Danio rerio: one gene and its partner. The protein of the gene in region 2 binds, or shares a complex with, the protein of the main gene of each other region. Links are inferred from orthologs where the notes say so. Each region holds a gene or a part of one and is shown on either strand. Other genes may lie near its edges.

What was found.
Region 1: lrrc23 (region 2) and ropn1l share a complex: the UniProt entries of both Homo sapiens proteins name them as parts of the axonemal radial spoke complex. The link is inferred for Danio rerio from reciprocal best matches to the Homo sapiens genes LRRC23 and ROPN1L.

What each region holds. Positions count from the first base shown.
Region 1 is NC_133199.1:25,901,210-25,905,384, reverse strand, and holds the start of ropn1l (ropporin-1-like protein), read right to left. Parts: upstream 2,810-4,175; 5' UTR 2,657-2,809; intron 2,437-2,656; 5' UTR 2,397-2,436; coding exon 2,266-2,396; intron 2,148-2,265; coding exon 2,024-2,147; intron 1,956-2,023; coding exon 1,794-1,955; intron 1-1,793. UniProt on the Homo sapiens protein: Functions as part of axonemal radial spoke complexes that play an important part in the motility of sperm and cilia. Important for male fertility.
Region 2 is NC_133198.1:23,038,169-23,042,323, reverse strand, and holds the start of lrrc23 (leucine-rich repeat-containing protein 23), read left to right. Parts: upstream 1-1,346; 5' UTR 1,347-1,662; coding exon 1,663-1,761; intron 1,762-4,155. UniProt on the Homo sapiens protein: Essential for sperm motility and male fertility. Plays an important role in the proper assembly of the third radial spoke (RS3) head and the bridge structure between RS2 and RS3 in the sperm flagella.

The sequences.
Region 1 (4,175 bases), on a different chromosome or scaffold from region 2:
GGTGTCAAAGGAGTTTAACATAGAAGTTCTAGTAAATTAGTAATGTGTCAGTCCGTTTTAGTCCAATCCAGTCCAGTTGACTTTTAGTTTCGTTCAGTTCAGTGTGATTTAACTTTAATTTTAGTTGTATTTTAATTGAATATAGTGGGCTTTTTGACATTTCTTTGCACACTTTAAATTATGACCATCACTGCACTCAATATTTCTCGTTCAACTCTGTGAAAGTTAAAGCCATTTAAAAATCCAACACTGCCATCTAGAGTCAATTAATAGAATTGAATTGAAAACAAAGTTCTTGGACCAAAGAAACATTTTCCTTAAAGTGTAAAACATTGTTATTTTTCAAATGTATTCATATTTATTTATAACTTTGTGTACTTTAGAATGTTTACAGTTTTATTTTTATTATATTATTTTTATTTGTATTTTTTGAGAGAGAGAAAAAAATAATGACTATACACCCTCAGAAATAAAGGTACAGGAGCTGTCACTGGGGCAGTACCTTTTCAAAAGGTACACATTTGTACCTGAAGGGTTCATAATGGTACACCAGAGGTACATTTTAGCAACATTTGGCCACTTATTTGGCCACTGTGCACTCTTTGGGTACAAATATGTATCTTTTGAAAAGGTACTGTCTCAGTGACAGCTCCTGTACCTTTATTTCTGAGAGTGTAATTAGGACTGCATGATACTGGAAAAATCAGACATTGCAATATTTTTTTTCTGCTTAAAATATTGCGATATACCACCAGATGAATTGAATAGCTCTATTTAAAAAGAATTCATTCATTTAGATAAATTGGAATGATCAAGTTTATTTTTTATATGCAGTGCATTTGCATAAATCATAATAAATTACAAGCATAAATACAACAGCGCAAAGATTAAAGTGAAATAAACAGTACTTCATGGTTTTCTGGAACCATAACAGTATCCAGGTACAGAAATTTAATCGTCATTTTATAAATTATTTAAAAAATTACAATCTGATCCTTATAATGCTCATTAATTGTCATTTTAATTTTTTATACTTTAACACTAGGTTTTAATCATAGCCCTAACTATAATACATGATTTACAGAATGAACCCACTGAATCTCATTTAGTATAACATAGTCTATTTACTGTGTTACTTCGGTACAAAAAACAAACATGTGGTTTATTAAAAACTCTTATTAAAACATTACAATGTATAGTTATTTCTCAGTAACTGTCATTTTAATTCTTTATACTTTATCACTAGATTTTAATAATACAAAATACAATAAAATACTGAATATAATCCCTAATTTGTATGAGGGGGATTGAACCCCCAAATTAATACTTGATCCCCCCTTGAAGGACATCAAAACAAGATGTATGGGGGTTCAGCCCTCAGCCCTTAGTAAGAAATAGCTCTCTCTAATCTCTAGTTTAATTCTTAAATGGTTCATGCTATTAGAAAGAAAAAATATGATTTAACAGTCTAAAACTGGCAGTACTAGTGCACCAAAGCACATCTTAAGTATTCACAAAATGCTTCTTGTAAAATAGGTGTTTTTATCTGCATGTAGCCTAAATAAATAAAAAATAGACATAATTTGTATAGTAACTTCCAAAATAGGTTCCAAAAACACTAAAAACGTATACATTTATAAATGAGATGTAATTTAAATACATTAATTGATTGACTGAAGCATGCATTACCAAACTGGTACCAAAAAAAGTTGATTATACATTTTATATAAATTGACAATTATACATCCCCCAATTGTCAATGTATAATTTGCACGCTTTTTATAGGTACTTACCCCACCCAAAGCGCTGCATGCCAAAGCAAAAAACTGCATCCAGTTAATGTTTTCGCTGAAGTTTCCAAGTGCGAGGATAGTGTCAAGCTGTTCCACAGGCAAGTGTAGGGCTTTCCACTTGGGAAGAAGCTCATCTTTTGTAACTGTTTCTTTAGATGTAAGCTGCAGGCAAGACAAATCTCATCAGTATTCACAGATATGAAATAGAAAGACGGTGCTGTGGATCACACCTGTTGATGAAGGATCTTCAGAAGGCCTGGTGTAAGTCCTGTGTCTGTCTTTTGAGTCGCCACTGGCAATTCCAGCCTCTTCTTGACTGGCAGGTCCTGACCTTTGGATAATGCTGAAAAATAGCTGATGGAGAAACAGTTTAATTCTTGTCATTTATCATGTTTATATTCAGTTTTAAAGCATATATTACATATAATGGCAATTTGGATGCATAATACACAGTACAAAATGTTTGGCTTACTCAGCTGCCCACTGCAGCACATCACGAGGCTGTGTCCTTATTGCTGCTTTAGTGAACTGCTTTAACATATTGGGCAGAGCTGGAGGGATGTTGATCTGCTGAGCGCAGTACATGGTTTCTGAAAGAGGCATCACTTCACTTTGAGCTGTGTTTTAGGATAAGAAAGAGAAACTGCACACACAAAAAGTATATTAATACAATATATGTTACAATATATATAAAAAGTGAAATAGCATGAATTCAATACATGCAAAACGGGAAAGGCCATATCAGCATATTTCATGTCACATAACACTAAAACATGATTAAAGAAAATACGTTACATACAGTACATTAACGTTATACAAAAACGTACGTGCTAAAGTTAACTCTATCTATTATCCAGACTTACCGTTATGTTATTTTAAATAAAGAGATGCGATTATGTCGTTTTATTAATATAATAGTTAGTACTTTATAGAAAATATACTATTAATAGTATTATATATAGTTTTTTGGCATCCTAAAATGCAGCAGCGACTTGTTCTGTTTTTCATAGCAACGTGTTGTTTGGAAGCGTCACCTAGACGCCGAAAGAGCTCTTTGTGATCTGATTGGTCAATGTCAAATAAAGGGCGTTAACTACAGCTGTTGTTGCCATGTCCTCCGAATATATGTAGGTTTCCGCTTATAAAAGGTTGCGTATTTATTGTAGCATTGCGTATCCTGTGGAGATCCCTTTAAAGTTGTTTTTAAAAACCAAGCAAAATGAAGATAAATAAGAGTGTTTTGTATACATGAAAGGCTAGAATCAATTCAAACCTAATCGGTGAAGATATTTTTCATTTTTTCACAATAAACTGTTGAAATGCCATTTCCACCACTGTCATTTCCATCACCACTCTCATTTTTAATTTTTTTTAAAAAGCTCTCTTCACACATTAAAAGTGTATTCACAATGTATAAGTTCATGCTTTATTTATTATACAAATTCAGTTTATTTTATTTTCTCATAAGCTCTTAACCAAAATAATATTAAATTGTAGAGGGTGACAGGTGAAAAATTCAGCATACAACTAATTTATTTTATTAACAAATGTATAATAGGGTATAAGCCGAGCTAGTGCTGTATCCATGCTGATACACTTCTGGTGACCTGTTATTGTGAACTTTTTTCCATTTTATACGGTTCCTTATACAGCATCGATGTTGTAATGTCATTAAAATACATTCAGTTAAATAAACGTTAGCATTTATTTGGTTGCTCAAGCGTAAAACGAGACAAAAAGCTGTTTACTCGCACGCGCCTGTCAGAATCGGCAGGCTAACACAGAAGCTCCATTGAATATACTGGGGTAAAATAAATGCTCATATTATAAAGACATGGCAGGGGAAATGTAATTTAATGCAGTGCTTCTTGTACAATCTGAGACCCACTTTAAATCGGACATCACTCAGCTAGTGGAGATCGCTCATCTTTAAAGAAAACATACCTTAAACGCACGGATTTTGCATTGGCATTCAATTCGCCGGAAGCGCTTAACCCAGGTTACTGGCAAATTAAAAGTCCTATTTGCATGCTTTGGCATATACCCCATTGTATACATATTGTGGAAAAGTTTATTAAATTTTGAAATAAAAGCTGTATACTAAGATGTGGTGGAAATGACATTTTCAGTTCACGATGAGAAAAATGTTTCTCTTCTTATCCAATTTTGTACTCTTACAGATCTTAAAACTAGACAAATTGTTTAAACTTTTGAGGCTATTACGTTAATTTTGAACAGGTTTTTTTTTTACTCAACTTCACAAGGCTAAAAGTGCCCGTAGTTGAAGAATGGATCATATTTATACTGTGCATAGAGTTGAAGTCAGAATTATTAGCCCCCCTGAATTATTAGAACCCCTATGGAATATTTATTTACGCACAA
Region 2 (4,155 bases):
AGAGAGGGTTGGTAAGGGTCACCACAGACACTCAGGGATGGTGAGGTACACCAAAGACACAGAGGGTTGGAAAGGGTCACCAAAGACACTGTGGCTTGGTGAGGGCCACTACAGACACTGAGGGCTGGTGAGGGTCACCAAGAACAGACAGGGTTGGTGAGGGTCAGCAAAGACATTGCTGGTTGGTAAGGGTCACCAAAGACAGAGAGGGTTGGTGAGGGTTTCCAAAGACACTGGGGAATGGTGAGGGTCATCAAAGATGTTGTGGGTTAGTGAGGGTCACCAAAGACATTGCGGGCTGGTGAGGGTCACCAAAGACACTGAGGGATGGTTAGGGTCACTAAAGACGTTGGGGGTTGTTGAGGGATACCAATGACACTGTGGGTTGGTGAGGGTCACTGAAGACACAGAGGGTTGGTCAGGGGGACCAAGAACAGAGTTGGTGAGGGTCACCAAAGACACTGGGGAATGGTGAGGGTCATCAAAGATGTTGTGGGTTAGTGAGGGTCACCAAAGACATTGCGGGTTGGTGAGGGTCACCAAAGACACAGCACAACCCTCTGAGGGGCCACCAGAAGACAATGGGATTGGTGAGGGTGACCTAAGGGTGAGTGCTGCTGAGGATCACTGCAAGGTGCTTGATGTGACATACAGCTGAGTTTTTTATAAAGACAAAGACAAGGCAGATGCTGATTCTAACTGAAATAAAGATATCATCTTCAGACATCTTTAGTGTCTCCATTTTTGAGTCTGCATTAGTCTTTAGTTTTTAGCTCAAGCTTAAAGTTAACATTTATTGCAATTACAACCAATTGTTTTACAAAACAGTTAACATAAAACAACTTTATGACATAACCTTTATAAACCCAATAAGCATCTTACTGCCTTTACATTTTGTGAACCAAATATTACTTTTTGATATTTGGATGATTTTTTTCTACCCTTCATTAAAGATCTCGACTTTCCAATGGCATTGATGCACTGTAAACAACATGAGGCTATTAGTCTGTTTTTCAAATTACACACTAGCTCACTTTCCTTTGTCTTAATCCCTGCTTTATCAGGGGTCGCCATAGTGTTATGAACTGCCATTACTCTGGAAACACTCATGCATTCGTGTCACTCTATACCTAAATTGCAACTATTACCTCAAATATAGTGAGTAACAACTCAGTTATCACTCAGTTATCCACAGAAACTCAGTGTGGTTAAATGTGAATAACCCTAGACATGCACAATAATTACCGGGAGGGTATGTGTTCGGCTCACAACTTTTTTTTTGTCATGGCCACGCGATGTGAAATTGCACTCTCGAGATCCTATGATGAGGGAACGGTAGTCTCTCTGGGACATGTGGTGTTACTATGGTAACAGCCATAAACACTCATCAGCGCGAGGTGAGTGACAGAAAACTTGTTCGGACATCGGGATCATATAATCCATTTGTAATTTTTGAGTTATTAATGTTACAGGAAATGATCATAAATTGTTTAACGTTACAAGTAAAATAGTTATTTTCAGTGCATCCTGTCTGTTAAGTTACTAACAAGCAAGCTAAAGTTAGCCAGCATGCTAATGATGTAAATTGATCGATCTAAATTCCCAATCATTTATTTCAACCCGTGAAAAGTTGATCGACAAGGTAGTTAAGATAGAAGAATAATGTCAGACTCTGGTGAAGATGAGGTATTGAAAGCAGACTCTGATCATGAGGGAGAGAATGAGGATCTGGAAGAGAAAGAGAAATCAGATGGAGATCAGGTATAAAATGTGTTTTCTTTGGTCTTATTTTAGTCAGTGGTGGTAAGAGTACAAAAAAATTGTACTCAATTACAAGTACTGTTACATTGCTGAAATTGTACTCAATTACAAGTAAAAGTACTGGTGTTAAAAAGTACTCAAGTAAAAGTACAAATTACTCTTCGTAAAAACTACTCAAATTACAAAATTACAAATTACTTTTTTAGCTTGGCGATATTGGTGGAATTATCCATAAATGCGGAGTCAGACAAGATTCAGGCAGTAAAACACATTTTACATAACACATTTAAAGATACTATAAACACTTTTAAAACTGTGTAAACAGCATTAATTATAGATTATAATTATAGAGCACCTATAGAGGAAACCCACGCCAACATGGGGAGAACATGCAAACTCCACACAGAAACACCAACTCACTCAGCCAGGGCTTGAACCAACAAACTTTTTGCTTTGAGGCGATAGCAATACCCACTGCGCACCATGATTATTTTACAAAAACAATGTTTTGCTATTTTGAGTATAAAGATAACAGAAATATGCACAAATGCACGACTTTTAATCATTTCAAATGATGCCTTTCTATCTGTACGATCAATAGATGATTTAATAAATTAAAAAAACACTTGCAAATTATGGAGAAACTTTGTTAATTACCTAATTCGCGAACTGAACCGTCAGAAACCACAGAACAACACTGCCTAGTGCCTAAACATATTATTAATAAATTAAATATCACACAAATTAAGTTGTCTTCTTACCATAATGTTTTTTTTTCAGATTATAGACTGAAGTCTTGTAAAAAAAAAGGGTTTCTGCAGATATCATAATGTCAAATGTAAGACTTTTTAAGACTACGTCATATTTTTAATATTGTTCAAGATTTTAAAAATAATTATTTTTCATTATTTTATAATTTATTATGATTACAAAGTTGGGTAACGGGTGGGGCAGTGGGTAGCACTCTCGACTCAAGGCAAAAAGGTCGCTGGTTCAAGCCTTGGCAGGGTCAGTTGGCATTTCTGTGTGGAGTTTGCATGTTCTCCCCGTGTTGCGTGGGTTTGCTCAAGATGCTCCGGTTTTCCCCACAGTCTAAACACATGCATTTTAGGTGAATTACCTAAGCTAAATTGTCTGCTGTTGTAAATGAGAATGGGTTGCAGCTGGAAGGGCACAATTGCTGGATAAATTGGCGGTTCATTCCGCTGTGGCGACCCCAGATTAATAAAGGAACTAAGCCAAAAAGAAAATTAATGATTATAAAGTTTTATAACTATTCAAGATTTTTTAAATCAAAGTTTGATGCATCACTCACTTTTGTTTATATCTCGGACAGTTCTACCTATTAAAGTTAAATATCAATGACAACAGAACATGGGTTACTCTACAATTATTTTTTTTATTCTGGCAAGAATAACAGCAAAAAAACAAAAAACATTTTTTGCCCACTCAACAATTGACACATTATTGTCTGGCTAGTTTCTGTCCTCTACTAATGAGCTGAAAAGGCAATAATGGTCAAACAATCCTGTCCATCATCACCAATAAAGCCTAGAAATTGGGCATCAGTTTACTGTAAGTCGATGGGTTCATATTGTCCAGTTATTAAATACCTTATTTGTTACTTAATTTTTGTTACATTGCTTTAACTTCAAAATGATACATCAGTGTAAAACCTATAAATGGTGGAAAAACATATTCTGTAATCTTAAAACCACCTGGGTCTCCACTTTTGCCATGGCCTCTTTTTTGTTGTAACAAACTTATCCCCCAGGTTTTTCCAAACTTTAACAAAACACTTCCTTTCCATGGCTGTTGCAATTTCTAGCCAAGAATTATTGGTCATCTGGTTATCTCTATGCTGATCACGCATGGTCGGATAGTTAAGATGTCTGTACAGTCGTACTGTTACAGACAAAATCTCTTCAAAGCGATTCAAATTCAACTCAAATCAAGCGCGGCGCCGCGCGAACTGTTCACCGGAAATCATGTCGCGCGCATCCAAAGTGAACCTCACTTTGGACGTCACATTCGCCGCTCGCACTGAGCTATTGCATGCTGGTATTATTTGTAGTTTTAATACTGCAAATCACAATAGGACTAGTGAAATAAAGAACTACACCACCACGAAACCAAGCAACAACAAAAAAATTATTTAAATGAGAAGTAAGAGTAGCGTCTCACGCCTTCAAACGCCAGCGCGCGTTCACTGCGTGCAGGATTGCCTTCTGATGCGCAAGTCACTTAGTAAATGAAGATAATTTATTCATGCAGCTGCTCCTACTGATGCAAATTCTGTTTTTACTTTTGATATTTGTCGCCAGTTAATCAGAAGGTGGCAATTTTGTTCTCTTTGACTTGATGGACAGAAAAGCTGCTTTATTTGCTGTCTTT